Cricetulus griseus: one gene and its partners. The protein of the gene in region 3 interacts with the protein of the main gene of each other region in a pairwise test. Links are inferred from orthologs where the notes say so. Each region holds a gene or a part of one and is shown on either strand. Other genes may lie near its edges. The genes, in order: Shmt2, Acsf2, Arl6ip1, Snx11, Gad2, Ndrg4 and Snx15.

Region 1 (4,443 bases), on a different chromosome or scaffold from region 3:
GAGTGGTTTTACCTATTCAGGGCCTGCGGCGGGAATCACCTGAGAGAATTGAAGCTATGGAGAGACAGCAGTCAGCTCTGAAAGATACTGAGCCCTCCTGTGAGACCCAGGTGGGAACGAACGCCTAGGGTGTCGATGGCCGGGAACCAGCAGGCTTGGGCCTCAGACTCCTCGCCTGCAACTCCACAATAAAATAGCATATGTTAGTATGTGAGACTCTAGATTCTGTCTGTCTCACTAAGAGGAAAACAAAACAAAACCAAGCTCACAGTGGTGATTGTGAGTCCTTCCTTTCATGGTCCTCTTTCTGTCACTCACAAACATTCCTCCTCCAAGGCTCTGTCCTCCCACACTCTGTACATGTGAGAACAAAGTGAGGTGTTGGAAGTTGTCACTGTTTACCTCTTCCCATCAATCGGTGAGCCCTGTCTCTCCGGGGCTGAGGCATGCCTCGCATGGCTCAGTGTCTATAAAATGGCAGTGTAGGGCAGTGAGTCCCCAAGAACTGTTTGGCTGTGCATCTTTGATTACTGTCTTTAAGAGCCATTGAACTAGAGGTTTTTTTTTTTTTTTAAGATTTATTTATTGTGTGTACAGTGTTTGGCACCAAATCTCATTACAGATAGTTGTGAACCACCATGTGGTTGCTGGGAATTGAACTCAGGACCTTTGGAACAGCAAGCAGTGCTCTTAACCACTGAGCCATCTCTCCAGCCGGAACTAAGTAACTAAGATGTCCCCAACTCACGTAGACTCTTCCCCTGAAGAGTATGACAAGAGGAGGAATGGCTCACGCTGCTCTCAGCTGATGGTGGACCATGGCTGTGAAGGGTTGTGAGTTAGGAGGACAATCCACAGGGGAGCTTGTTCTGAAAAATTGCATTTAATCCTCACCATAAACTCTTTTATTATGTTTGGGGGGGCGGGGTTGACAGGCTCACATGTGGTTCACTGGCCTCCAGCTTCATGTGTAGCTAGTTGAGGCTAGCCTTGAACTCCTAATCATCCTGCCTCCACTTCCCCTTTGTGCTGGAATGACAAGCATGGGCCATCACGACTATTTTACCACGGTGAAACCGAGGACCAGCGAGGCTATTTTGCTGTAATCCTAAAGCAGGGATTTGGGTCTTTTACCTTTCAAAGTGTATTGGCTTCCACTGTGTCAAAGTTCTTTACCGTGTGTGTGTGTGTGTGTGTGTGTGTGTGTGTGTGTGTGTGTGTGTGTGTGTGTACCTCCCTTATAGTGCTGGCTACTTGGTAGGCTCAAACCAAACAAACAAACAAAAAACCCGAACAAGGGCCGGGCGTTGGTGGCGCACGCCTTTAATCCCAGCACTCAGGAGGCAGAGGCAGGTGGATCTCTGTGAGTTCGAGCCAGCCTGGTCTCCAGAGCGAGTGCCAGGATAGGCTGCAAAGCTACACAGAGAAACCCTGTCTAGAAGAACACAGAGAAACCCTGTCTAGAAGAACAAACAAACAAAAAATAACAACCCTGAGGTTCAAGACCTTTTCAGGCAACCTGACGGTACAGATGAGGCGTAAGGATGAAGAAAAACTACATTTCCCAGAAGGCCATTTTCTAGAGACGGCAATGCGCCTGCGCCGGCCCCTCCCCTTTAGCTCCGGCTTCGTGGGGGTATTTTTCTCGCGCCTGCGCCCTGAGACCAGTCGGCTTCCGACCCCTCTGTTACTACTCCGGACCAGAGTTGGTGACTGGTCCTGCTGTGACCTCTGGTAGCGATGGTACCCTTCTCTTTGCTTTGGACCACTCGGGTAAGGACAGCGGTATGGATGTTGGATGGCCAATGGAAAGGCCCACCCCACTTTAGTTCCTTTTCACAAAGTGGGGTTCCCCTGGCTCCTTCACCGCACGTGTTCCGGGGCCTCGGGGAGCGGATGCTTAAGCAGGAAATCCCTGAGCCTCCTGGGTGCACGTGCGGTGCCTGGGCCCAGTCCTGGTTCCTAGTCCTGGCGATCGATGATCGCCCCTTTCCCATGCTTCAGGTAAAGTTCCGCAGACCCTGTGTTAGCAATGTCCCAGCGAACAAGTGGGGTTCCCGGCTCCGATGTGCTAGTTTTAATTTTTCCCGCCAGCTCTGAGCTGTGGAGATGATGCAACCGGGCCTCCGTGCTTTCATCAGGCAGGGGTCCCGCTGCAGCGTGGGCGGAAGGAAGTAGGGAGGTGCTCAGTGTGTGTGTGTGTGAGAGAGAGATAAAATTTAAGATTTTGGCTTCTCTCTGGACAAACACCTTCCCTCTACCCCCACTCCCGCCAGTACACAACTCTTCCCAAGAACTGCTTAAAAGTCTATTCTACTTTGGTTGCTTTGGAAACTACCCTACAGCCTGTGGCATTAAGCCCTGTTAATTTACTGTCTTCTCTCTGAAGTAGTCTCTTATGGAGGCCCTGCTCGAGGTCCCCCCCCTTTATGTTCATGAACATTTTGCCTGCCTGTATGTATGTGCATCTCATGCGTGTCCAGGTACCCACAGAGTTCAGAAGAGGGCATCATTTTCCCCTGGAAGAGTTACAGATGGTTGTGAGCTGCCATATGGGTGCTGGGAGCTGAACCTCTGTCCTTTGTCCTGTACAAGAGCAACAAGTGTCCTTAACCACTGAACCATCTCTCCAGGCTCAGGAAGGCCCTTCTGGGTAGACCCTGGAATCTAGTCTCTCTAGTGAATTTGGGGGACATGGGTTTGGGGGGGCACAAGCTTTGTTGTGTGACCTTGCAGGGTAACTCACATGGTGAGCTGGAGATCTGGATGGGGGGTTGAGTAGAGCTGATCAAAACTGCCCTTTGGATACTGATCTGAACCTTGACTCTAGAACTTGCTTTTCAAGGTGAAGGTGGGGGTGGTGAGAACTGAATTGGCTAGCTGGACCAGGCTGCCTGCTTAGCCAGAGGGCTGTCTGTACCCATAGTGAAGGGTGATTGGGAGAGGTCTGGACAATTTTTAATCAAATCCTGGCTCTTCTGCTCTAAGCCTCTGCAGAGATGTGGTCAGCTGGTCTGGATGGCTGCTCGGGCTCAGCACAGTAAGGTGGCCCGGACACAGGCTGGGGAAGCAGCTGGAGGCTGGACAGGCCAGGAGACTTTGGCAGATAGTGACCCTGAGATGTGGGAGCTACTGCAGAGAGAGAAGGACAGGCAGTGTCGTGGCCTGGAGCTCATCGCCTCAGAGGTAGGGAATGAGGATATGGGCCAAGAAGTAAAATACCAGGAAATAACACATCATCTTACTGACATTTCTCCTGGGCCTTCTCCCTCTTTGTACTATCCCCTGAAACATTAAGCAGGGCCAATCCAGTGTATGGGGCTGGGGCGTTAGGGAGCTTCTGGAGCCCCTACAGTTTCATCTCTTCCTTACCTCCTCTTGTCAGAAGAAAGAGGAAACATGGGTTGAGTGGACAGGTGGCTTTCCTGGGGCCACCCATCATGGCTGTTGAGTTTTTGAGAATGCTGCTTCTGGTCCTGCCTCATGCCTGGCAAAGAACCCAGAGTGTACAGAGCTTTTTATGCATCCTGTCTCCACCCCATCCAGCCTGTGGGCTCTGGCAGGGATGGGACTGTGGGAGTCCAGGGCAAGGGGCTCATTGTCTTCTGACATTAACCCCCACCACTCCAGAACTTCTGCAGCCGAGCTGCGCTGGAGGCCCTGGGGTCCTGTCTGAACAACAAGTACTCGGAAGGTTACCCTGGCAAGAGGTGAGGGCTAGATCAAAGGGCTGGAGGGCAGCATCAGGGATGGCGCTCCTAGTGGTGGAACCCGCTTAAACCCCATTGATTCTTATGGAGCAGTGGCTTTCCCAGCCCTTGGCTTTTTCTCTGTGCCCTTATGTACCCTCTCCATGGTAGATATTATGGAGGAGCAGAAGTTGTGGATGAAATCGAGTTGCTCTGCCAGCGCCGGGCCTTGGAAGCCTTTGACCTGGACCCTGCACAATGGGGAGTCAATGTGCAGCCATACTCTGGGTCTCCAGCCAATCTGGCTGCTTACACAGCTCTTCTTCAGCCCCATGATCGAATCATGGGGTTGGACCTACCTGATGGGGGCCAGTGAGTATGAATAAATGATGGGTTTGATGGGCAGTAATGACATGGGCCAAGTGTTATTTTTTTTTTTAAGTAAAACCTTTTTATTTAAACTAGAAACAAGATTGTTTTACATGTCAGTCCCAGTTCCCTCCCCAACCCCCCAACCCCCATAACATTCCCTTTCTGCTCTCCAAGGAGGGTGAGGCCTTCCATGGGGGGGAATCTTCAAAGTCTGTTATATCATTTGGAGCAGGGTAGACCCTTTCCCGTGTGTCTAGGCTGAGACAGCATCTCTCTTTGGGAGTGGGCTCCCAAAGTCCATTCGTGTGCTAGGGATAAATACTGATCCACTACCAGAGGCCCCATAGATTTCCCAGGCCTCCTCACTGACATCCACATTCAT
Region 2 (4,517 bases), on a different chromosome or scaffold from region 3:
CAGGCTAGCTCATAGCACAGGCAGAATGATAGAGAACACGTCTCCTTACTGCCGCTGACCCCCCCCCCCCAGGGACTAGTCAGGAAGTGAAAGGGTCCTAAGGACCAGAATGTACCCTTCACTTTGCCAGTGCAATTATTTATCCAGAAGAGGTCAGTGATTGGTTCCAGGTCATCCACCAGGCCTTCCAGGAAGGGCTTGGATCCAAAACTTGGAATATTAGCACGCCTCATTCCTTGGGCCTGGCCTCTGGAAGCAAGTGTATAATTTGGAGGGCATGCCCTCTCAAGCCCAACTCTTCAAAGTCTCTGTCTTGACTGGTTCTCCATAGGAACACAGATTCTTCCCCAAATTTGCCAGGGAGATCTGAGGTCACTCTGGAGATCAAAGAGAAGGAGCAGCTGGATTACTCATGACAGTTGAACCAGGATTCCCAGATAAAGGCAAAGGTTCACTAGGCCAACCTCTGCTCTCAGCCAACCCCTCCTCCTGGCCTGATTTTCTTCATTTCCAAGTCAGGAGAGGGGAAGCCACCCTGCCAGGACTTTTCTTTTCTTCCTTTGAAGTAATGATCGTTCAGGACAACATGGTACTGACTAGAAGGTGTAGGGGTTGTGTGCCAGTCTTTGGTTAACCCAGTGCCCAAACCCAGAAATGAACAGTCATTTCTTCTAGGTCTTCTCTCCCATCCTTCTTGGGTTACTTGTTAGAATATATCCCAGAGGGCTGGAGAGATGGCTCAGAGGTTAAGAGCATTGAATGCTCTTCCAGAGGACCTGAGTTCAATTCCCAGCAGCCACATGGTCGCTCACAACCATCTGTAATGAGATCTGGTGCCCTCTTCTGGTGTGCAGATATACATGGAAGCAAAATGTTGAATACATAATAAATAAGTAAAATCTTAAAAAAAAAAAAAAAAAGATTATATCCCAGAAGCACAGGGTTTTGAGTCTCTCACAAAGTCCTTTGGAGCCTAGGGGAGCAGCTGAGGAATATGTTTCAAGCCTCAGCTAGGGCAGAAAAGAGGATAGGATAGGAAACAAGAGACTTCAGTCCCTGATGCCACCAGATCTTGTCTACTGGGCACTCTACTCGGAGTGACTCGGTATAGAGAAGGAAGGATGCCACGAGAGATGCGGGGTCGAATTATAGCTGATTCCTGGCGTTGGGCCGCATTAGTACCCCCCCACCCCACCCCAGTCCCAGAGTACAGAGGGGCTCACCCATCAGACCGGTTGGGGCCGGACAGCCTCTCTTCCCAGAGGCTTTCTGTTCCAGCCCGCAGGCCTCACGGGAGCTCCGGGCTGGGTTCCTTTGGCCTGTAGCTCACCACCACCCGGGAAGTTCCCACGTGACCCACGATCTACTGGGCACTGGAACCAACTAGCCCTGAACTTGCTGTCTGGCCCATTATAGACTTCAGATTGTTTTCCCGTTTATGAAACTCCTCGGCCCTCCAATCTTAGCCGGGGGATGGCCCTGTATTGTGCTGCAGAGAGAGTCTTGGGATCCCCCGAAAACAAAAACAAAGAAAAATAGGGGCGATTCTTCGAGGGCGAGCTTAGAGGGTTGTAGTTCCCACGCGAAGGTGGCCCAGGACTCGAGAGTCGCCACTTCCCGGCCTCTCCTCGCCCCGCCTCGCCCCGCCCCGCCCCGCGGGGACCAGTCCTTCTCACCCCATAGGCAGAGCGACCCTCCCGCCTCCCAGTCCGCTTCTTCTTCTTTAGCCCCCGCCTTGTTCACTTTCAAAGTTTACTCCCGGCCGTGATCTGCGGCGGAAACGAGCCATGGCTGTCTACCTCGGGATGCTGCGCCTTGGGAGGTTGTGTATCGCGAGCCTGGGGGCGCAGGGGCCCCGGACGCTACTCTCTCGGCCTTGGCAGAACTCGAAGTTGCACTGTGCCCGCGCACTCAGGTACCCCGAGCAGCTCCCCGAAAAGAGAGGGGGCTGGGCAGTCCCGAGGAGGAGGGAACTCGGGAGTTCTGCAGAGCTTGGCAGGGACTGACCCCACTCTGGGTGGCCCTCACTCAGACTACCCTTACCACCTAGGCAAAGGGAAGAGCGGGCCTGGCTGGGGTTTGGGGCTGCTGCAGGCAGCTGCAGTAGTCTTAGACTGAGTTCAAATTCTAGATCAGGATTCTGTATGCGTCCCGGGTGGCACACAGAGACAGAAGGTAGGCTTTTAACAGTACACCCGGGGAACAGGGCTGAGTGCTGCTGGGACACTCTCTCAGCTGTACCCACTTCAGTGAAAAACTTGGGACGGGTTGGGAGTCCTCAGGCACTGAGTATTTAACAGTCCCTTTCTCTTTCTTTCTTTCTTTCTTTCTTTCTTTCTTTCTTTCTTTCTTTCTTTCTTTCTTTCTTTCTTTTTCTAGACAGGGTTTCTCTGTGTAGCCTTGGCTATCCTGGAACTCACTCTGTAGACCAGGCTGGCATCGAACTCACAGAGGTCTGCCTGCCTCTGTCTCCCAAATGCTGGGAATAAAGCCGTGCACCATCACTGCCTCCTGGCTTCTTTCCTATGTTTTAAAATCATTGCCACTTACTTCTGGGCCTGTTTTCATCAGCCCTCGTGGGAAGGGGGTTGGCAGGAGAGGATTGGTTGAATAAAGCTAAAGTGGCCAGGCACTGAAGGGACTGCAGGAGACAGCCTTGAGAAAAGCCAAGGTTGGTAGAGCTGCCCCTGCCCGTGCAACAAGGTTGGTGGTATCTTCAGCATCCAGTAGGGGGAAGGCCTGCACATAGTTGAATATGCTCTGCCACACAGTCTGCTGAGCTACTAAGCCTTGTTTGTTTGTACCACTCTGGCTGTGGTCTTGGACAGGACAAGTGGAGACACAGCTATGTCTCTGCAAACTAGGTAGCGCGTATCTATAAGGCAGAGGCAGGAGGATCTCTGAGTTCTAGGCTAGCCTGGTCTAACAGAGCGAGTTCCACGACAGCCAGGGCTACACAAAGAAACCTTGACTCTACTTCCTGAGAAGTTGGACAGATAAGTTGGAAGATGCCTTTTTGTCCAGAACTCTCAGTCAGATTATGGCCTTCTGAAAACTAGGAAGCAAGCAGTGTGTGTGTGTGTGTGTGTGTGTGTGTGTGTGTGTGTGTGTGTGTTATGCTGAATAGGCACTCTACCACTGAGCTACATGCTTAGCCCTTATAAAGAACTTTAACACCCTCTGCCTCATTTCCTGAGTGGACCTAGGGGATCATGGCTGGGTAGTGAAATGGGGCTCACTGGGGGAATGGGGGGGCACTTTTTAAGGGAGGCTCTCACACCTCCCTAGGCTAACTTGACCCTGCCCTATCCCTAGTTGGCCTGTCTCACCTTTGAACTCTTGAGTATCCCTACAAGCTGTGAGGACTCTGAAGAGAAAAGTTACTCCCCAAAATACATACAGTTGTTGATACTAAATCAGACCCAGTGTTACACAACAGTGCTTTGATTTGTGTGTGTGGTTCATGTGGATATATGTGTGTGTGCGTGTGTGCATACCTATGTATCCCTGCACCTGTGTTTTAAGTGCAGGTGAAGGCAGCTACCCAATGTTGGGTGTTCTCCTTGAGCTATCTCTACCTTACTGTTTTGAACTAGGGTCTTTGACTGAGCCTGGAGCTCACTGATTTGGCTAGGCTGGGTTGCCAATGACTTCGAGGGCTCTTTCCCTCTCTGTCCCCCTCTCCCAGGCACTGAGAGGTTACAGATGGCTGAGTCACTGTACACAGCTTTAGTGTGAGTGCTGGGGATCCTAACTCAGTTCCCTATGCCTGCACAGCAGTCACTTTACTGACTGAACCCAGCCCCAACATTCCTGATCTTTGACCTTTGCTTGTGTAAACATAGCAGGTTACTTACTTGCCTCAGGCCTGTGACCTCTGAGGGTTTCAGTGTCAGGCCTCAGAGAAACTGTCTAGAAAAGACCTATTTATCCAGAGAAAAAAAGATTCCCTGGTCATCTGGCCCACCTTCTTCCCCTTCCTCTCTTGTTTGCATCCTTCCTTGCTGTCCGTGGGCGCTTTTGTCTGGATTGTCCCTGCTCTCCTCTGCAGAAGCCTCCCTTCGGGCGTCTCAAATACACAGCACACATCTCTGAGGGCATGCCCTCACTGTGCCGAGCACCTAGGCCATGGAACTAAGACCCGGACTTGTGTGAGGACGAAAGGTATCAGGGGAGGAATAGCTTGATGGTGTTCCCTGCATAATGGTGTGGGAAACTGTTGTCCTCTGCTCTCTCTGCTGTTTTGGAGGCAGGGTCTTCGTGTGTAACCCAGGTTGACCTGCAACTTGAAGCCATCAATCTTCCTGTCTCAGCCTCGGAGCTGTGAAATTACAGGCATGTATCGTCATGCCCAGCTCTGGTTTCTGGTTTTGCTGAACGGGAAAGAACAAGAATTTGAAGCAAGCTTGTCTTGAGATACAAACCTGGCTCCTCTACATAAAGCTGATGACCCAGGAACATATTACCTTATTTCTGAGTGTGGTTAGTTTGTTGCTAATGAATTCTTACCTGCTGGC
Region 3 (4,524 bases):
CACAGCTTCTCAAAGATGGTGCTGTTTCCTTTCTAATTTCCTCACAAGTGGTTTTCTATAGGTATCCTGGCATGATGTTGTCACAGCTATCGTGGTTAATTTAAACAGCAACAGTCAAAAACTCTAGGGACCTCAATCTTTATTAGAAAAGAATATAAAGAAAAGGTTTTATAACACAAAAGTTTGTGTGTGCAGGATTTACTCATGTGTATCAGGTTACAATTTTACATAAGGACTACAAATTCTAGAAACTGGGCAAGCTGCTTGTAATTGTAAGAAAGGCATTCCTTTTGGATTATGTATTACAAAAGCTTCTCTAAGCATAGGCTATGAACCATCTGAGCACTTAGCAATAGAATCCCTCACTTACAGGAACAGCAGGGATACAACACCCATGATGGCAGGTGGAAACCAGGCTCTTTCCCATCGAAGGACTTTGTCAGCCATCAGCATCACTTCTCCCCATCCTTGCAGCTGCTCTTCCAGACCTGCAGTCTCCACAGCCTACACGTGATCAACAGTTAAGAGTGTTGTTACTTTACCAATTTCAACACTCCAGTGGCTCAGAGAGTAAAAGCCTAAGGCATCAAAACTGTTATCTTAAACAAGCTGAGTCATGAAAAACTGCAATTTTGGCACCAAACATAAAAACGTATGAGTGGGTGGGAGAAAGCCCAACCTTCAGCACTGGGCCATATGTCCATGATGTAACATAATACTCCCAAAGTTTCACAATATGGAGATAAATATTTCATTATTAATGCAAGTAAGCTTAATATGGTTAACTAATATTCCCAAATTCATCCACAGAGTCATGAGGCAGTGCTCAGAACATTACTCAATTGGATACTCTATGTTTGCTCATTTCAGGTGGTTGGCATTGATCTGTTGATTGGTTTTTTTTATTGATTTAAGCCCTTCTAAATGCATCAGGAAAACAATCAGTACATACAATATCTAAAATAGCTCTTTGTATAATAGAATTGCTCAAGTGTTGGCAGTCTCTGTAGAATTAAAGAAAACTACTTGAACTAAATTATGTGAAGCACTTAAAGTCCTCCGTAATGGCTCTTCATCATTGATGATGTAATTTTGGCTAAATTTCAAATTTCTCTGCATATGTAACAACTAGGCAAAAGCACACCTTTAGGATAAGCTATTGTGATCGAAACCCTTCAGGGACTTTGGTAAAGGAAGGAAATTAGAACAAGAAGTTGCTCTGTCTGTAAGGGGCCCTGGATTCAACCCCCAGGAACAAGATAGGCACAATGTCAAGTGACACTAAGCTTTTCACAAAGGAACATGCAAATGATATGACACAGTCCAGACTAACTCTAATAAAGATGAAATCTGTGTCATAGTACTTCTGACTCTATATTACATGCTTAATTCTGATATCACTCCAAACTAGAAATTCTAGACAGTTTACATTCTATACTTCAACTGATGCTCCTCAAAACTGGAAAAGGTATTTTTACAGCCTCTATTTAAGATGAGGAAACTGAGGCAAAAAGAGGTTAATACATTTAAATCCAGTAAATATAAGATTAATGGCCTTGCTCTCCTCAAAATGATACTGCATTGATGGAAACAGTTAAGTTCAGGATCAGGTCCTCTCCCTTTCCTTTTACATCAATTAATCCTCTTCCTGAACTGTTTGCTGGTGTGTGAGTGTTGTGTAGGGCAAGTATCTCTATTGTATTGTTTGCTGGTGTGTGTGGCGGGTGTGTGGGGGTATGTGGGTATGAATAGGGGGAATTTAAGGGGTCAGGGAAAGCATTTCAAAACACCAATGCAAAGTGAAAACCTTGCACAATCCTGTAGTGACTATTGTCCTGTAGAGACTTAACTTGCTGGCATTTAGGCTCTTAAAAGTACAAAAGCAGAAGTTAAAAGCTGGTTGGTCTTTTCATTTCTGATATGGCCTGTCTTTCCCTGGGGAATGAGAACAGAGAAAATAAAAGTATCTCTCTTTCTTGCCTAGATGATACAGTTGAATTTGTAAAGCTAGCAGGGCCTGGTGATGCACAACTGTGACAGGAGAATGACAAATGCAGGGCTAACCTCCATACATAGGTCAGGGCAAGCTTGGCTACATGAAATCCTGGTCTCAAAACAAAACAAAACAAATCAAAACAAAAAAGACCTGTAACGAAGCAAATGTTTCCTCGTCTAATACCACCTCATGCAGTTTCTTCAAATCCGTGCTAATCATTTTAAAGTTGCCTCCAGTCCCGTGAGCCCCCTTGCCAGCTCCCAGACAAGTGCTAGGTCCTCCCACTGTCCTTTCCGCTGAACCCGCTTTTCAGCTTCCTGCGGTGAACTCTCAGCCAGCTACAACAAATTCTGTGTCAGCGATAACTAGTTCTCTGTAGCAGCCCTTTGACCCTCAACCCTAGCCCAAGTTGTTTTTGTTTTGGGGGCGGGGGGAACCACGCATACAATCTACCGAACATGAGATAAAAATCAAAGAGACGGAACAGGTAGGTCTCCGGCCTGAGCCCCGGGTGCTAAACAAGGCCCTAGGCGGCCGAGTGCCTTAACCTGCCACCCAGGTTCCTTCTTGCCAAGGGTCCCTTTCTCACACTTCCTCACGCACTGTCCTTGCCTCGTCGTGCGCGATCCCCGGAGAACATTGGGGATCGGCCGTAGGGACCGACACCGTGGAGATGTGCAGGGAGCAGCAGGATCAGGCCTGACAGCCCCTGGAGTCACCGAGGCCAGGAGGCCGAACCGAAAGTGTCTGGGACAAGTCAACACCGCGACTCACCAGCAGGTTGCTGCTGCGGTTATCCCCCTCCGCCATCGTTACGGACGCGCGTAGTCTCAACGAGCAGAACACACACCCCACCAACACCCGCACGCCGACCGTAGCGCGAGGGAACGCCCCGCAGGCTGCTTATGTAGGCTGGCTGCCCTTCCCGACAGCCCTCGCGAAGCTCGCTCCTCATTGGGTAGATAGCACTCCAGCTTCTGGGAAGCCAGGCCAACCGGCAGCCAGCGCATGACTTGAAATCCAGGTCAAAGGAGAGGGAAGCTGCGCGGAGCGGAAGGGCTCCGGCCAATCAGAGTACAGGGTTGTGGCCCTCTGGAGGCGGAGCGAAAGGGAGCGGTTCAACCGCCGTCCCTAGTCTCTGGCTGGGCTGCATCTCAAGACCCCTGGGGTGCCTGTCAGCCTGGCGGAGTGAAGGCTGCTCAGTGCCATGCCAACGGAGGATAGAAGGGCGGAGGATGCTTTAGACTTCTATGGCGCCTGCTAAGATTTATGACTGAGAGGATGGCGGGCCCCTGCGTGAGAGCTGCTGCAGCCATCTGCCCAGCAATAACAGGCCCTACGACAACACGGAAGATGCACTGACTCATACTCATATAGGGCTTCTTTTGCAGCCAGTCTTTTGGGGAATCGTTTGTGGTGCGCTTCACTTAATTGAGAAAACTATGCGCACTTCAGATGGAGGGATGGATAGGTGGATGAGTAATTCAAATGATGAAGTGTTCCAGATTGATACGGATTAACGGGTGTGGGGGGAAGCCATGCTAAATATTGACCTCAAATACATTTAAATTATTTTTAAAACATTTCGCTCGTTTAAAACATTTAAAACGTTCATACCAGGTTCTTTTAAAGTACTGGGAGATTTTTATGAAACTTTTAAGACCACACAGTGCTCCTAAATAAACCTGGCCCTACCTGGAGCATGATATGATGGCTCTATAAAGGTTTGTCACAGACCTGTGGAGAGTACTTGGATAAGGTACTAACACAACATAGTTTTGGCTAGGAAGCTCGGGTAAAGTGCTTCTTCGAGGAACAATGTGTGTGTGTGTGTAGGGGGGTGATATGATTGGGTTGATAGAGAAACCTTACTGGTGGATATTTAAAGACTAGAGAATTCCCTCCTTCACCTCAGTATTGAGGACAAAAGGACCTCAGCTGCTACACAGGCTGAGCAGCGAGGTGGCCCCATCTTGCTAGTAGCCAAGGAGCACCCACTTTCATAAGAGAGGCAGGAATACTAATAGGCTTTAAAATCCATCATTTCTACCTTGGGAACTTGGCTTTTGCTTCAGAAAGCTTTGGTGTAAAGTCCAGCTGCTGTGGCTGAGGTAGATAAAAGAAGTCCAACAGCAGTTTCTCTACAGCACTTCTGTTGTGGACTGTTCCCAGACCCAGGTATAAACTCCGCTCTAATCTTCCATATGATTTCTTGAAATGTACCCGATGAAGAAGCCCTTATCACAAATCTTCCTCAGAAACTTGGCACAGCAAATGAACTCTGCCAGATACTTCCTTCAGAGCTTTCACTCCCAATCATGGTCTGCCAGTTTTGTTTTCTTAATATTGCCAAAATGAAGCATCATACATTGCCTTTTGTTTTTCAAGAGGGTTTCTCTTTGTAGCCCCAGCCATCCTGGAATTTGCTCTGTAGACCAGGCTGGCCTCAAACAACTTACCTTTCCCTACTCTAGATTAAAGGCATTCTTACCTAGGAATGTTCCTATTGAAATAAAATTTTCACTGTT
Region 4 (4,343 bases), on a different chromosome or scaffold from region 3:
AGGCTAGATAAAGAGATTTATCTTAAAATCAAAGGAGAGACAGATATGGGAAGGAGAGTACTATTTGATGTTTTGTTATAGCAAAAGACTATTCATTATTTTTAGAGAAGGCTAAAAAAGGCCTTTTCCATTGATATGCTTGTGCTGGGCTAGATTTTCTTCACATACTAAAACAATTGAGCATGAAAGAGAAACAAACAAACAAACAAAAAGATTTGGAACTGGAGAAATGACTCAGAGGTTAAGAGCAATTTCTGCTCTTGCATAGGACCATGGTTCAGTTCCCAGATCCCCACAGTGGCTCCAACCATTTGTAACTCCAGCGCCAGGAAATCTGATACCCTCATCTGACCTCTGAGGGTTCCAGGTAGGCCTCCATACTTACAGGTGAAACACTCATACACAAAATAAAAAGAAACATTTATTTTTGGTGTGTGTGTATATGTATGCCTCGGATCCACTGGAGTTGGAATTACAGTTGATAGCTGCCGGATGTGGGTGCTGAATTCATCTTCTGTAAGAGGGAACAAACACTCTTAAACTCTGAGCCATTTCTTCAGCTCCCGTTTGGTTGTTTTTGAGACAGGGTCTTAGGTAGCCCTGGCTAGGCTGAAACTCATTATGTAGTTGGCAATGGCCTTCAATTCCTGCCTCTACTTGCAAGTTCTGGGATTACAGGTGTAAAATTATCTTTTTAACAGATGACGAAGGTTTTGGTTTATTTATTTATTTTATTGTGTTTTGAGATTGACCCTTACTCTGTAGCCTGGGTGGTTTGGAACTCACTAATGTAGCTTTAATCTTCCTAGTGTTAGGATTCCTTGCGTGAGCCCTTCTATTGCCTTAAGAGGAATCTTGATGTCACCAGAGTTAGCATTTTCACCAGCTTTTCCTTGCTTGTTACCTGCGCGATCCTGCTTTGGGCTTGTCTCGGGGAGTCACTGTGAGTTGTCAGCCTTCTCGCTTGGTTTTTGCCGGGATAATCTGCGTCTTTTCCAAATCTAACCGGCAGTGCCCTTGACAGTTCAGCTGAGGAACTGCAACCTCCAAGGTTCAAACAGGGACTCTCTGGAGATCTTAGTGAAGCTCCAGGAACGCGTGGAACCTCCCCACACCTCTGACAACTGTAACACCCCTACGGATACCTCGGATCCCAAGATGCTCTCGCAGACCTTTAATGACGCTCCCTGCGCGCTGATTGGCGCGCCTGACAGAGGTGGGCGGGACTCGACACTGGAGTGGACGTTGAGGGGTTTCTGTCCTCTCGCGCTCCACCTCCAGCGCCCCAGCAATTTCCGGAAAGATCCGGATTGCTGCTCAAGTCTGGGCGGGGCGGAGAGCGACCGCTGACCCGCGATCGCCACTGAGAGCCCTGGCCTGCAGGGGTGGGGCGTCCTGGACACTCAGGATTGGTCCGTCGGGAAACGCCTCCCGTCGTGCACCGGGGCGCCGGCGACTCACCCGGAAGGAGAAGCCGGAATTCGGGCTGTCTGGTGCGGTGCTGAGGGTGTCGCTGTAGAGAGCTGCTGCTGCTCTCAGGTGAGGGGGCGTGGGCGGAGCCGGGCTCGTAGGTGCTGCTGGGGTGGAGGGGGGACCCCGGCTCGAGGAGCAGTGGTGGCATTTGAGTGTTGGCCTCGTTTGACATGCTGCCGCCCGGTGTGAAAGTGAGGGCTTGCTGGGGACCCAGCAAAAAAGGAAGCCTGGCTTTTCAGTTTACCTTGAGAATAGAAGATGTCTTTCGTCCCAAGTTTAACCGGAAAAGGAGAAGGCGCCTGTTTCTATTTTCCATCTAGTTTGATAAGAATGAAAGGGAATGACCAGAGTCAGGGTTCGGGGGTATCTATCCAACTGGCCGGGAGTGGGAGAAAATGGCAGATATTTTTCGCAGATACTGGAAATTATGGTCGCCTTTGTTATTTCCAGGTGAAATGAAAAGGTTTATCTCCTGAAAGGTGGGACAGCTGCTTGCTGGACTGCTTGGTGTGTCTGTCCGGCGCGAGAGCTTCCTCTAACATCTGTGGGCATTTAGGAAGGCGAGGTTTTTGAGTTGCAAAAGTTGTTGACACCAAAGGCTCAAGAATGAGTAAGGCGGCAGGCTCCTCGGCGCAATCGTTTTATAGTCTGATTTGTTTTTAACGTGTCTCTTGAAATAGTTTAAGTGGTAGAAAAAATGAGGGGTAGGCCTTGAATTGCTCCCCTGAATTAGCAGTTGTGAGCTTTACAGTGCATCAGCTTTGTATACAGCAAAAGATCTGGTTCTTCTTCAGGACTTTTGGTGCTGATACTGCTGAGGGAAGCAAACAGCACTACGGATGTGATGGGAAAGGCCCTGGAAATGTAGTTAGCACTGAGTAAGTTTCTAACCCGTGGAGGTCACTTGATTTTATCCTTCCTATCTCTGGGTCGTATAGCTAAAGTTAAGAACTTGATGCTTCTCCAGGAATGGACTGAGTTTCATTTTCTTCCAAGGAGTGGGAAGGAAATGGATGGAGAATAGTGGTTGTTAGAAATGGAGCCTAAATTTTACTTACTGGACAGTGGAGGTGGAGTTAGGAGCCAGCCTGGTCTACTACAGAGTGAGTTCTAGGACAGCCAGGGCTGTTAAACAGAGAAACCCTGCTGTAGGGGAGACACTGTAGTCCCGCCTCCTAGGAGCTAGGTACAGGTGTGCTTGACTACGCCTCTGGATGACTCGTGGGGAGTTCTTAAAGGGGCCGCAGAGCTCCTTCCTGCTGCTCCCCTAGGGCAGACAGGACTTTTCCTGTCTCCCTCTTCTCTTCTCTGTATCTGTGTCTCTTTACCTCTTTTCTCTTCACTTTCTAATAAAACTTCCCACTTAAAAAAAAAAAAAAAAAAAAAAGGGGCCGCAGAGACGTGGGAGTCTCTCTCTCTCTGGCCTCCCTAGCTTGCTGCCTCTGGGCACACTCTGGCTTGCGTTTGCCTGGTGTTTATCTGAATAAAGGTATCTTAACCCCACGGACTACAGCTCGATTTCAATCACGCTATACCCTGCCTTGAAAAGTCAATAAATAAATAAAAATAAAAAAGAAAGAAAGAAGAAACGGAGTCTAGGTTTTTTTTCAGTATTTTTCAGTATACTAGTTTCAGTATTTTAAGGAATCATAAACCAGAACTTCCTCGGTGCCCTTTAAACTTAGGTTTAAGCATATAAACACATGGAGTCTTAGAGGCTTTGAATTTTTAAAAGACAGTTTATGATTGTTTCTATGTGATATTAGCTTCACAATAAAGGAAAAAACTTCCACTTGGGGGTGCTGCTGGCCCCTTTCAAACTCTTCTTTAGACCGAAGCTATGATGACTGTTTAGTTATTGAGCTAGAGTCTTGAATTTCACAGAGCTTTCCAGGCAGAGAAGTGTCAACTCTTTTCTTGTCATCTTTCCTACTGTACTACAAAAAGACACTTGGGAATGTTTAACTCTCGGTTCCTATGCTAGCAGATTAGCAAATGCCTATAAAGAAAAAGGGGTGGGGAACCCCAGGAGGTTAATTATTCACATCGTCTGTCTTCTATTTTTGGTCACAGGCCTTTGTCTGATTCCGTTTGGACTGTTAGTCTAGGTTATTGGGGAATTGGAGTTTCCTGAATTTCAGTTCAGGGCCTGTTGGAGGTGGTGACTGCAGCTGATGAAAAATCAGATTGTCAGCAAGAATGCTGTTTATTAGGGTGTAGAAATCACAAAACCTTGGGCTTGCTCCACAATGTAGCTCACTTTTGTCATCTGCCATGTAGCTTTGTCCCCGAATGCAAAGTCTGTCTGTAGAAGTGAGACCTTCTGGGATATTGGAAAGAATTGCAAAAGCTGTTTGCTCTGCTAATTTCATGCTGTAAATGAGTTCCCCCTCTTTTGAAACATTAGCCCTGTGTTAGCAAAACATAAAATAGACGGAAGCTCATTATGCACTCTTGTAATGGTAAGGCAGAACTAATAAGAGAATGTGTTTAAAATTAATTGTGGGACTGTAAAAATGAGTGGGTGTGTGAATGGGCACGGGAGGAGGGGAGGGAGAGCTTAGACAGTCTTGTTTTCCCAGGAGCCAGCCCGGATCATTTGTTGGCAGTACATATTGGCTGAAGTCAGTTTTCATTTCAAGGTAAATTGGAAAGGGAAATTAAACCTTATTGTTTTGCTCTTAAGAGAGAGGAAGGAGGTGGCGGCGGCAGCCAGGGTGGATGCTGTTGGAGTGGGTCTAGGAGTAACAAGATTAGTGCTGTATTTTAACAGAAGGTGACATCATGGGCCCCGTTGGAATCCAGCAACCCTGTGCTGCAGCCTTCATGGTCCCCTTGCTGGAGTGGGCGATGTCGCCGTACACGTAAAC
Region 5 (3,763 bases), about 130 Mb from region 3:
CTCAGCCTTTTGGAGGCAGACATGTTAAATGCAAGGAGGCTGCTAAGTCAGAGATTATGTTTTTATTAGTTTATTCGTTGACAGTTTCATGCATGTATATAATGCATTCTAGTCACAGGTGTTCCTCCACCCTTTCTTATCCCTCCAAAACCCAAGTCCAAGTCCCACCTTCAAATCTTCTGAGGGATTTCTTGGCTTTGCTTTGTGATTCACTTAGTTTAATTTTGACTGGACTCTCAATTTACATGAAAGAAAGATCACTCCCTCTGCTCAGTAAGCAGAAGGATTGCTGTGAGCTGGGGATCAGCCTGTCTTCAGAGTAGGATCTTGTCTCACAACCATGTAATCATCACAGCCACATTTGCTACGGTTGTTCTTGCAGGGAAAGGTTGACGCCGTGACAGGCATGGCTAGGGAGCTTCAGATGGGATAATTATCCTCACTTCTGGTCTAGGTTGAGGGACTGCACTTATTATTTTGATAACTCTTATCATTTCATCTTGAAAAAATTTGAAGCTTGAAGTTGGAAGCCAAATGGAAAATTTTCCATTTGGATATCCAGACATTTGAAGCTTTGCATAACAAATAGAAAAAAAAAAAGCTCTTAAGTAATGTAGCCGGTGACCTTCCCTTTTTCACCTCTCTCTGAGGTCTTTCATTTTAAAGCTGGGAAAAGCTGGCTTCTTCACCTTCCTGTCAGGGGTTGTCCTACTCTTGCTGTTTGATCCACATCTGATATTTCTTCCACTACCCCCAGGAATTAGGACCTGAAACATGCTTTACATGGGCTGTGTTGTTTCTTCCCTTTGGGGGATGATAAGGCCCTGAATAAAAGGGAAAACATACCCATCTTATCTCCATTATAGTTAGAGTTGCTTCCTCTGGTTCCCATGCTGGGTTAGGTGGTATGCCTGTACCAGTACCAACAGCATTAAATGCTTTGCTGAGATTTCCCTTTGCACTTGTCAAATACAGGTACTAAAGGAGGAAAGGCATTTTAGAAATTAGTTGCTTAGTGTGCCTAGACATTGGTTAAATAGCTCCAGCCCAAGGCTGTTGTACTGTGTTTCATAAGTCCAGACCCAAGGCTTCCAGAACTGTGAAGCAGAAGACTTCAATGGCATATTCACCCAGCTGACATATGAGTCATACTTCATCACAAAGGACAACACCAAAAAGCTAGGCAGAATGACAGGCTTCCCAAGACTCATTTGTTTGATCAACTGACATTCAGTGAGTGCCTGTTTGTTCTTACTGAGCCATTTAGGGAGTTTGGGGATGGATAATTTACAACAAGAGTGGGGGCCAGGCAGGCATTTGGGGGGTCTTGTCTACAGGAAAAGACTAGCCCAGCCCTTCTGTTATTAATGACTTCCATGATTGCATCTATGAGCTGCGGAGGCAAATTTTCCCCTTGAGTAATCAAAATAATTGCCTGGGGAATTAAGCCCTGGGAACAAAAGGAGTCAGCTGTGGGCCCTAGTAATGAAAAGGAACAAATGCACCTGGGGGGTGGGGCGTTAAACAGGAGCCTTCAGCAGAGAAGCCTCCAGGAGTAGTCTCATCTCAGCCTGGCAGAGCTCGAAAGGGCAGGGTGACCCTGGGCAGTCTCCAGGGGACTCATGTCATTCCTTATTTCCAGCTGATAGCTACCCACACACCAGGCCTTCCTAATGCTTTTCCTTCTTCTCTTTCGTAGGGGACTATTGGCTTTGAAGCACATATTGATAAGTGTTTGGAGCTGGCAGAGTATTTGTACAATATCATCAAAAACCGAGAAGGCTATGAAATGGTGTTTGATGGGAAGGTATGTACTCACATTCCAACAATCACCATTGTTGAATCCCCGTATCTTCAGTTCCACTCTTCACCCCTGGTGTTTTCTGATGTCAGTAATGTGCTGTCTAGCTAGGAACCATTACTAAGGCAAGCAATTGATGGTGTGATGGCTCTTTTGAGCTAGAATAAAGATCAGACTCACAAGCAAATCTATAGAATGTGAAAGTGAGACACCCCAAAGGCAATTACTCATTTAAATACAGCAATTATCTTCTGAACCTGAAGAATAAGTACATCCAAATCATCCTTGGAATTTTGAACCAGGTCTGAATCCTACTTTCTTCCTTGTAGCCTCAGCACACAAATGTGTGCTTCTGGTTCGTGCCTCCCAGTTTGCGTGTTCTGGAAGACAATGAAGAGAGAATGAGCCGCCTCTCAAAGGTAGATGCTGACAGTTCCTTTTTTCTATGGACCTTCTTTGTAATAAGAAACTCTTACTGGGGAATACCAGGCTGATGCCTAGACCGATACCCTCTGTGGCTCCCACAGAGCCAAGATGTGCAAAGTCTGTATTTCCTGACTTTTCACAATTCCATTTGCTTGGTTCTAGAGAGAAAGAGTTTATGATGTCTTAAAATTACTGATTGGTTGATAATCTCCACCGACATTTAGAAAGCACCAAGAACTGTCCTCAAAGGTTTCTGGTTTTTGAAAGGAAACAGATACTCACAGTTACAAGGACAAAAGACATTTCATGTATCAGAAATAGAAGGGGGAAAAAAGGCTGCTGTAGGCACTCTTTAGATACCAAGGTCAAGGCTACCCAGGGGAAGTAGCAATAATATTAACAGCTACCACTTACAGTGTGCATTGTGCCCCAGGCTCAACATTTATCATGTTTTAGGTCACTTAAAGTCTCATAACAGAATGTGTGAGTTGATGTGGCCAAGTACTGATTGACAGAGAGAAAATGTAATTTTCCCCAAATTACACAGTAAGTCTGACTCCAGAGCCTAAGTTGCTTTGAGGTCTCCTTTGGTCAGGAAATACTTTTTTTTTTTTTTTTTTACCTTTAATCTCTACCTGCTCCCAATATCTACACATGGGTGAAGTGTGTTTTTGGTATATGCCATCAAGGCATCAAGGTGCTGTAGAAATGGGAAACTAGGGTGATTTATATGCTTGAACTTCAGAAAGTTAGATGCCCTAGGCATTTTTTTTCAGTGACTAGAGGAGGATGGAGGCAGAGCCAGGTTAGGCAGGCATGTACTCCCCACTGCTAAGAATCTCACCATACCTTACTAACCTTCTAGAACAATCCATTCCCTCTATGTAAAGGGAAGAATGGATTCCTGTAGATGAAAAATCCTCAGGAAAATTTTTGGATATTAACATCTGCCCTTTAGCAATCCAGCACCACATTCCTCAGCAGAATGAAATTCAGATGTGGTTTTTAGTTTGTCAGTGTGTGTTGTACATGTTCACGTGTGTCTGCAAATGGACATGTGAGTGCATATTCCCATGTGTGCACCTGCATGTTGGAGAAGGAGCAAAGTTAAATTCTGGACAAGACAAAGCCAAGAACCCACACGAAAGTCAATTGCTGAGATAAAGTACTGAGATGTAGGGGTTTGCAATATAATGAACTTGTGTAGGTTAGGTGGCTTATGGACAACAAGAATTGATTGTCCACAGTTCTGGTGACTGGGAACCCTGAGATCAAGAAGTCAGCAGAATCTGTGTCTGCTGAGGCCCCACTTCTGCATCATTGACAGTCTGCACTGTACCATCCTCTGGCAGAAAGAAAGAAAAACATCTTTCTGGGGACTCATACAAAGGCACAAACTAATAAGGCAGAGCCTCCCAAGAGCCCCATCCTCAATGGGGAGTAGGATGACAACATAGAAATTTAAGGGCACACAGTTTTCAGTCTACAGTGAGCACTTTTCACATACTTTCATGCATGAGGGAAGAGAACATTTAC
Region 6 (4,300 bases), about 89 Mb from region 3:
GTGTCCCCCGCCCAAGTCTGAGCCTTTGGGGAATTTCATTCACTTTTACAAAATGGATCTCCAGGCGGGAAAGATGTCAATGTTTTGTGGCATATAAATTAAGAAAGTGCTAGTCTGGGGCTGGGCATGTAGCTCAGGGGTAGCATGCTCCTTAATGTGTGGGGCTCTGGATTCCATCCCCAGCACCACCAGAATCTAGAAAGTTCTGCTTTCTGTGCCTCTTAGCTAAAACTGCATGCCTTGCCTGTTTCGTGGTCACAATGAAAAAAATGAGTATCATATTAGTTATTTGTTTGAGACAGGGTCTTAGTATAAAGTCCTGGTTGGCCTGCAACTTGCTGTGCAAACCAGGCTGCCTCAAACTCACAGAAATCCACCTGCCTCTGCCTCCCAAGTGCTAGGATTAAAGTCATGTGCCACCATGCTGGCTGAGTATCTTATTTTAATCTGAATTTCTTTGAATATTTCTCTGTGTGTTAATGGAAGTCTAGTGCAAATCCTTGCCTCATTTCTCTCCTAGGTATATTCTGGCCTCTGCCATTATACCCAAATGAGAGATGGTACTGCCTCTCCTGCAAACACCTCATCCTGGGTTGTCTGTCCAATGTTTGTTGCTGCACCCCTACACAAGCACACACAGCAAATGTGTACACACTGTATGTGTGTGACCCTTTCTTCCTCCAAGGCTCAAAAGTTTCTGCGTTGGGGCTGGAGAGATGGCTTAAAGGTTAAGAGCACTGGTTGCTCTTCCAGAGGTCCTGAGTTCAGTTCCCAGAAACCACATGGTGGCTCACAACCATCTATAATGAGATCCTGTGCCCTCTTCTGGTGTGTAGGTGTACATGCAGGCAGAACACTGTATACATAATAAACAAATCAACCGGGCGTTGGTGGTGCACGCCTTTAATCCCAGAACTTGGAAGGCAGAGTCAGGTGGATCTCTGTGAGTTCGAGACTAGCCTGGTCTACAAGAGCTAGTTCCAGGACAGCCTCCAAAGCCACAGAGAAACCCTGTCTTGAAAAAAACCAAAAAAAAAAAACAAAACAAAACAAAACATAATAAACAAATCTTTAAAAAAAAAAAAAAAGTTTCTGCCTCTGCCTGAATCACCCAGAAATCAAGGCACGGACCTTCTGGTAGCCATAGGCAGAGATCACATACATTTTTCTGTCCTGACCCTGTTTGAGTCTCAGGAAAGAGAGCTGTCACTTCCCATCCTCGCGGCTTCAGTTTTCTAAAACCTCTGCTGGGTACTTCTGGCCACTTACAGGGATCCTCTTGTTGCTTTATTATGCTAAATGTGATTTTATTTGAAAAGAGCAATTACAATGTAATATTCCTTGGCATAAGCAGGTCTTGGAGAGAGATCAGTTGTGGTCACCTGGGGCCAGTAGCCCTGGCCGGTGATATCCTCACAGGGCAACTTCAGAACAAGCACCAACCGCATATTCCCTTCCTCCTAGGGCTTCTGCTCCATGACATGACCATGGCCGGGCTGCAGGAGCTGCGATTCCCTGAGGAGAAGCCCCTCCTCCGGGGCCAGGATGTGACCGAGCTGGTGAGTCGCCCCTTCCAGGTCCTGGGGCCGTGTGCCACCTTGTGGTGAAGAGGGAAATTGCGTATTTTCCCGCAATCTTGCCTGTGGTGATGGGGAGAACCTCCCTATGAACTCAGAGCCACCCAGAACTGATGGTTCATTTCTTGAGAAAGTTGCAGGATCAGCCTGAGTGGCCATCCAGCATGGCTGGGTATGCACCCCGCCCACCTTGCTTTCCACATTCAGCTCTGCGTTTTATTTCCGCCTTCCCAGCCTCCTGCCAGAAGGAGCAGCAGGGACTGCGATAGGTGGCTTAGCCAGGGCACCAGGGAATCCAACCACATGAGGCCACAGCCCTGCCCCTGAACAAGGTGTGATTGGTCATTCAACACATAATCCCAAGCGAAGCACCCACTCCTGGATTAGTTGAGGGTAGTTTGTGGGACCGTCATTGAGCTGCAAATTTGGCAAACTCTTCATCCCAGGCCCCACTGCTCCTGGACCACAGCAGATCCTCCTGCTAAGTAGCCTGCAGGAGCCTCCTCCCCGTGTTCCCATTTCTCTCCTTGTGCAATACCACCCTTTAAAAATGCACACGATAGTCCTTTACTTAAACTTCCCAGTGGCTGCCATCTCACTGCAGCTGTGGTCATGCCTGAGGTCGGGGTATTGTCTCCTCTTTCCCCTGCTCCCCTCCTTCCCAGCCTCCTTGAACCTTGAGTGTATCTGCCATATTTCCAGATGCTTCCTCTGCTGGAAGAAGACATTAGCCCAAGCACTCCCAGGGCAGCCTCCCTATTTTATTCTGGCTTCTGCTCAAGTGTTCCCAGGAAGCCTTTGCTGACCACTAGGCTGTTACTGGCACTCCTCCACACTCTGCCGTCACTCCCAGCATGCGCTGTCATCAGACCCTAACCTGCAGCATGGTTCTGTCTCTCCAGAGGTCTCTCCAGCCTCCTGCAGCATCTTGCTGTCCTTTCCTCCTGCTCCTGGAAGCCTACCTCCTCCTCCTATTGTAACCATTCTCTCATTTTCAAGCCAGTGGCCACCAGGGCCATTGTTTGCCACGCTGGTGTTTGGGATCCTTGAGTCAGCAAGAGGCTCTTGCTGGGTACCCCATCACCTCTGGTTTTTCCAAAGGGTTATTAGGAAAAATGCCCACTTGTAGTCTCCTCGTGACTCCCAGCAAAGTCCTTGAGGTATCAACTAGCTGCACCTTTGCCTTCAGGAGCTGCCCTTTCTCAGCTGTGATGCTGGCAAGTTCCCTTAGCATCCCGAGCACAGTGCCTGCCTGACCTCTTTACTTTCTGAATGGCTGTAGTTTGCCAGGTACACACTTTTGTATCCAGAGAGGATACAAAATACAGCAGGCCCTCCATATCCATGGTGTCCACATCCAGGGCTTCAGTTAGCCAGGTAGAAGTAGCCATAGTACACACTTTTTTCTTGTCCTTATTCCTTTAACAGCAGAGTATAGCAACTATTTCCATGACACATGCTTATCTTCTAGAAGGTGTGTTATAGGCCATCTGGAGCTGATTTGAATTGTGTGAGAGCAGAATCTGGGCAGCTAAAATGCCATCATAGAGAAGTGGATTTTGGTACCTACAGAAGGTTCTGGAAGCAGTGCAGAGGCAGGGGACAACTATATTCCTTCCCACCTCTGTAAGCCATGTTAGACTTGCTTTCCCTGAGGACTGTAGGGTCTGGGGAGTCCTGGGTTCTGTGGGACACTGCTGCCCCTTCTCTCCACCTCTCAGGCTTCCTTCCATTCATCCAGATCCTCTTCTGCCCTTTGCTGTGACCTCCCTCGGCCACCTCCTGTGGTTCCCAGGGATTCGTGTTGGCTCATTTTTCTGCTCTCCCTTGGTTTGTGGGCCCCACCCCATCCCTCCCTCCCTCCCACAGACCCACCCCCTGAGCCCCAACGTCCCGAGAGCACATAGCACACCCTACCATTATCTGCATCATCCTTGCCATCAGATTTTTGTTTTTTAACAGAACTGTCTCCTCCCTCCTTCCCACATTTGCTTTGCAGCCCTCTCACTGAAGGTGCTTTGGTGAAATGCTCCTTCAGTGACCAGCCCTACCCCTTTCTGCCAAAAGCCCCCTTCCTAAGGGATCCAGAAGTGACCACCTTCTCTCCCTTGACCCCTGTAGTTCCCCTAGGCCTTGGAAGAGTCAGTAGGTCTCACTGCATAGCTGAGTCTGGCCTTGGACTCCCAACCTCCTGAGCACTGGACTACTGGCATGTGCTACTATGCCCAATTTTGAGTGTCTTCTGAGCCATGCGCCCCTCATTTATGACATCAGATTATTTGTCCAGATTAGCCTGTGTTTGGGAGCCTACTCTAGTCCAGGCTTTACATGGCCAGATAGGGTCTCTCCATCATGGCATCTGGAGTCCAGAGAGTGGAAGATGCCACTTCCAGTTTCACATAGACCCAAGAAGTCTGAGAGAGTCAAGTGGGCAGCACTACTGAACAGGCCTCAGCTACCTCCCCTGCCCTGTGGGTGACAACCATGGTGGCTCTTTGCTCCTCTGTCATCCTCTGCCCTTGTGTGCAGTGATCCAAAGCCAGCATTCAAGCAGAGATCCCAGTGCGTTCTGCCTGTGGAGCAGCCCTCAGTCTCCATGATACCCTAACAAGATAGAAACCCTTGTGCTGTTCATACCCTGACACCCAGGATAAGCTCATGAGCCACTACCATTAGCATGAACATGACTGGGAGTCGGAAGACCAGTCTGCTTTGGCAGAGCC
Region 7 (3,633 bases), about 29 Mb from region 3:
GGATCTCTGAATTTGAAGCTGGCATGGTCTACATAACAGTCCAGGTCAGTAAGGGCTACATAATCTCAAAAACAAAACTAAACAGACAGAAAATGGAATCTTGCCCCAGTCAAAGGGGGTGAGGTCCGGGATCGAAGAACAATAGGTATGAGAACTCCCATGGTGACCTGGGGGGCCATCAGAGTCAGGCCGGTTCCCAATACAGGTCAGAGTACTTAACTCCTACTTGCAAATCCCTAGCAAAGAGACACTAAAGCTTAGTTTATTCTAAAATTCACTGACTACAACTAGGGTGTTAGAGTGGCTAACTGCACTAGGGACATGGCTTAGTTGATAAGAATGCTTGGTTGGCGTGCATGGAAGCCTGGGTTCAATTTCTAGTGCCGCTTTACAGGGTTTCTCTGTGTAGCCCTGGGTGTCCTTGAATTGTCTGTCAACCAGTCTGGCTTCAAACTCATAGAAATCCAGCTTGCAAGCTGGGCGTTGGTGGCACACTCCTTTAATCCCAGCACTTGGGAGGCAGAGGCAGGTGGATCTCTGTGAGTTCGAGACCAGCCTGGTCTACAAGAGCTAGTTCCAGGACAGCCTCCAAAGCCACAGAGAAACCCTGTCTCGAAAAACCAAAAAAAAAAAAAAAAAAAAAAAAAAAAGAAAGAAATCCAGCTTGCTCTGCTTGTTGAGTGCTGGGATCAAAGGAGTGTGCCACCACCACCCAGTTTTATTTCAAACAAAAATAAGGGCCTTCAAGATGGCTCTGTGGATAAAGGTACTAGCCAATAAGCCTAATGCCTTGGACTCATGATAGAAGGACAGAACAGATTCTGGCAAGTTGCCTTTCACACACACACACACACACACACACACACACACACACACACTACTTTTTGTTTTAATCGGAAAGCTGGATATGGTGGCATATACCTTTGATCCCAGCACTCAGGGAGTCAGAGGCAGGCAGATCTGTGAATTCAAGATCAGCCTAGTCTACACAGCAAATTACAGAATAACCAGGCCTACAGAGTGAGACCCTGCCTTTAATACAACAAAAAAGGTAAAGTGTCACATGGCTATATCCCAGCACTAGAGAGGCAGAGGCACAAAGACCAGTAAGATGGCTCAGAAGGTGGAAGCACGCCTTGTGAGCCTGGCAACATGAGTTCCATCCCCCAAACTCACCTAGGTTGAAAAAAAAAAACTCCCAAGACTTGTCCTCTGGCCTCTACATGGGTACCACGGCAGCACACTTGTGCCTTACTCACTCATATATGCAACAACAATAAACTAACCCTTTACAGAAAGCTCCTGAGCCAAAGGAAGCAAGCAGATCACAACAGATTTTGTGAATCTCAAGTGAATTTGGGATTTTCCAGGCTCTGTTCCCCTCCAGTGGGGACAATTTGGTGTTCTGATAAACAAAATAAGCCTGGGGTAGACAGCATACCATGGGAAAGAAGGCTACTCTGGCCTGAATCCTCCCCGTTTTATTACAGAAAGTACAGGTCCCAGCCCCACCCACACTGGTGAGCTGGCAGCCATGGAGGTACAGTCCAAAAGACTGGACCAGGAACCTTGGGAGCCAGGAGGACAGGAGAAGGAAGAGTCTGAGGATGGAGAACCTGCCCCAGCTTACCTGAGCCAGGCCACAGAGCTCATCACTCAAGCCCTTCGGAATGAAAAGGCAGGGGCTTATGCTGCTGCCCTCCAAGGCTACCGAGATGGGGTGCACATCCTGCTTCAGGGAGTCTCGGGTGAGTATAGCAGTAAGGAAGACAGGGCAGTGAAAAGCAGAGGGGTTGGGGAGATGACTGTGTGTAGTGCCTTGCCATGCAAGCATGAGGAACTGAATTAGAATGCCCAGAACCCAGCCGGGCGTTGGTGGCACACGCCTTTAGTCCCAGCACTTGGGAGGCAGAGGCAGGCAGATCTCTGTGAGTTCGAGGCCAGCCTGGTCTACAAGAACTAGTTCCAGGACAGCCTCCAAAGCTACAGAGAAACCCTGTCTAGAAAAAAAACAAAACAAAAAAGAATTCCCCAAACCTACACAAAGTAGCATGCAACAGCACACTCAGGAAGCCAAGTGTTCCTGTGGGAAGATGAGAATCCCCAGAAACTCCATCCAGGGCTGGTGAGTCTGGCATATGCAGCAGACAACAACAAAGAGACCGGGTCTCAGACATGATGGAAAGAGGAGACCTACATCTGAGGTTGACCACTGACCTTTATATGTTCAATTTCACACATACACGAAATATTTTAAAGAAAAAAAGAAGGACCAGGAGCCTTCATTTGTCACAGGTCAGCCAGAGACCTTGGGTGGAATTTTCTTTAATTTTTTAATAGCCTCATAAAATGGGGAAAAGACATTATGACCCAGGGAAAGGCACATTCAGGCCAGGGACTCTGGAGGCCTTCTGCTCTCTACAGGTGACCCATCCCCTGCCCGACGGGAAGGTGTGAAAAAGAAGGCAGCTGAGTACCTGAGGCGGGCAGAGACCCTCCATGGGCAATTGCCTTGAGGAGTGGACCCTTCCTGGGACATCAGCTCCAGCACTGCCAGCCTCCTCCACTCAGTCTTTCCTTGGGACCTGGCCTTGTTTCCTGCTCTTGGAACCCCAGGGGCCATATCTGTTTTAACTGGACCAAGTATGAGAAAAGCAAAGACTTCTCAGCTCCAACCTGCCTGCCTCTTTGGAATCAGACTTGAACTTCTGGTCCTGCCTGTCTGTTTTATGTCTATTCACCCATCTAGAACAAGGGTCTGCAGCCTGCAGTCTGTGGCCAGACCTAGCCCACTGCCCTTTTTTGTAAGACCCTCAAGCTACAAGGGTTTTTCTTTTTTCTTTTTGTTAATGGTTGGAAGGAAAATGATTCTTTGACCAGTGAAAAATTTATAAAATTGAAATATGTGTGAATAAAAACGAGTCCGAACACAACCAGGTCCGCATGATTATTACTGTCTATGGTTGAGTTTACATTGTACCAACTGAGTTGAATAAGCTGTGTCTAGCAAATGAGTGTGGGGACCACACCTTTAACCCCAGCACTCAGAAAGCAGGGGCAGGAAGATCTCTATTGAGTTCAAGGCCAGCCAGATAGAGCTACATAGTGAGACCCTGTCTCAAAACAAAACGCTTAGGGAGGCTATCTCGAGGGAGACAAAGAATGACAGGCCCACCGCACTAGTTTAGTGTGTAAAGAGATAATGGAGAGATAGGCAAGGCAGGGTTACCTATTTCGACAGCCCCAAGTACAAAAAGCTAAAATCCACTAAATCCCGGAAGACCTGGGGAGGTGTGGCCTCATCGCTGGACTACAAGCCGGTGCATCATGGGACGGCTTAAAGGGGAAAAGCCGAGGCCAGGCGCGGTGGAGGATGAGAGGCGTTTCCGAAGCCCGTGGGAGCCAACGTCTTCCGGCATTGCGGTGTCTGGGAAACCCGGGTGAGCGGGGGCGGGCCAGCCAAACTGGGCCCCACGCGTGTTTCCTGAGCTCACAAGAGGATGCAACGCCACGTGTCCGCTGGCCCCGAGATGCTCAGTGTGCTCCGTCTACCCACAGCCCTGCCATGTCCGGCTGCGAGCTGCCGAGGGGCCTATGCCCGGACATGTGCCCGGCCGCCGAGCGCGCCCGACG

The links.
Region 1: the proteins of Arl6ip1 (region 3) and Shmt2 interact in binary tests that used the Homo sapiens proteins (3 or more experiments, as listed by UniProt). The two-hybrid records come from large-scale screens. The link is inferred for Cricetulus griseus from reciprocal best matches to the Homo sapiens genes ARL6IP1 and SHMT2.
Region 2: the proteins of Arl6ip1 (region 3) and Acsf2 interact in binary tests that used the Homo sapiens proteins (3 or more experiments, as listed by UniProt). The two-hybrid records come from large-scale screens. The link is inferred for Cricetulus griseus from reciprocal best matches to the Homo sapiens genes ARL6IP1 and ACSF2.
Region 4: the proteins of Arl6ip1 (region 3) and Snx11 interact in binary tests that used the Homo sapiens proteins (3 or more experiments, as listed by UniProt). The two-hybrid records come from large-scale screens. The link is inferred for Cricetulus griseus from reciprocal best matches to the Homo sapiens genes ARL6IP1 and SNX11.
Region 5: the proteins of Arl6ip1 (region 3) and Gad2 interact in binary tests that used the Homo sapiens proteins (3 or more experiments, as listed by UniProt). The two-hybrid records come from large-scale screens. The link is inferred for Cricetulus griseus from reciprocal best matches to the Homo sapiens genes ARL6IP1 and GAD2.
Region 6: the proteins of Arl6ip1 (region 3) and Ndrg4 interact in binary tests that used the Homo sapiens proteins (3 or more experiments, as listed by UniProt). The two-hybrid records come from large-scale screens. The link is inferred for Cricetulus griseus from reciprocal best matches to the Homo sapiens genes ARL6IP1 and NDRG4.
Region 7: the proteins of Arl6ip1 (region 3) and Snx15 interact in binary tests that used the Homo sapiens proteins (3 or more experiments, as listed by UniProt). The two-hybrid records come from large-scale screens. The link is inferred for Cricetulus griseus from reciprocal best matches to the Homo sapiens genes ARL6IP1 and SNX15.

What each region holds. Positions count from the first base shown.
Region 1 is NW_023276806.1:130,225,835-130,230,277, forward strand, and holds the start of Shmt2 (serine hydroxymethyltransferase, mitochondrial), read left to right. Parts: upstream 1-1,620; 5' UTR 1,621-1,740; coding exon 1,741-1,773; intron 1,774-2,988; coding exon 2,989-3,186; intron 3,187-3,630; coding exon 3,631-3,710; intron 3,711-3,860; coding exon 3,861-4,061; intron 4,062-4,443. UniProt on the Homo sapiens protein: Catalyzes the cleavage of serine to glycine accompanied with the production of 5,10-methylenetetrahydrofolate, an essential intermediate for purine biosynthesis.
Region 2 is NC_048600.1:107,506,260-107,510,776, reverse strand, and holds the start of Acsf2 (medium-chain acyl-CoA ligase ACSF2, mitochondrial), read left to right. Parts: upstream 1-1,697; 5' UTR 1,698-1,787; coding exon 1,788-1,915; intron 1,916-4,517. UniProt on the Homo sapiens protein: Acyl-CoA synthases catalyze the initial reaction in fatty acid metabolism, by forming a thioester with CoA. Has some preference toward medium-chain substrates. Plays a role in adipocyte differentiation.
Region 3 is NC_048596.1:82,511,721-82,516,244, reverse strand, and holds the start of Arl6ip1 (ADP-ribosylation factor-like protein 6-interacting protein 1), read right to left. Parts: upstream 2,928-4,524; 5' UTR 2,807-2,927; coding exon 2,771-2,806; intron 505-2,770; coding exon 371-504; intron 1-370. UniProt on the Homo sapiens protein: Positively regulates SLC1A1/EAAC1-mediated glutamate transport by increasing its affinity for glutamate in a PKC activity-dependent manner.
Region 4 is NC_048600.1:109,928,127-109,932,469, reverse strand, and holds the start of Snx11 (sorting nexin-11), read left to right. Parts: upstream 1-1,422; 5' UTR 1,423-1,539; intron 1,540-2,277; exon of another isoform or gene 2,278-2,351; intron 2,352-4,055; 5' UTR 4,056-4,115; intron 4,116-4,343. UniProt on the Homo sapiens protein: Phosphoinositide-binding protein involved in protein sorting and membrane trafficking in endosomes. Regulates the levels of TRPV3 by promoting its trafficking from the cell membrane to lysosome for degradation.
Region 5 is NC_048596.1:211,481,621-211,485,383, reverse strand, and holds part of Gad2 (glutamate decarboxylase 2), read left to right. Parts: intron 1-1,699; coding exon 1,700-1,807; intron 1,808-2,130; coding exon 2,131-2,220; intron 2,221-3,763. UniProt on the Homo sapiens protein: Catalyzes the production of GABA.
Region 6 is NC_048596.1:171,882,239-171,886,538, forward strand, and holds the start of Ndrg4 (protein NDRG4), read left to right. Parts: upstream 1-1,469; 5' UTR 1,470-1,481; coding exon 1,482-1,559; intron 1,560-4,300. UniProt on the Homo sapiens protein: Contributes to the maintenance of intracerebral BDNF levels within the normal range, which is necessary for the preservation of spatial learning and the resistance to neuronal cell death caused by ischemic stress.
Region 7 is NC_048596.1:53,223,022-53,226,654, forward strand, and holds the end of Snx15 (sorting nexin-15), read left to right. Parts: intron 1-1,490; coding exon 1,491-1,748; intron 1,749-2,424; coding exon 2,425-2,516; 3' UTR 2,517-2,933; downstream 2,934-3,633. Other genes in the region: Sac3d1 (SAC3 domain-containing protein 1), read left to right, coding at 3,374-3,633. UniProt on the Homo sapiens protein: May be involved in several stages of intracellular trafficking. Overexpression of SNX15 disrupts the normal trafficking of proteins from the plasma membrane to recycling endosomes or the TGN.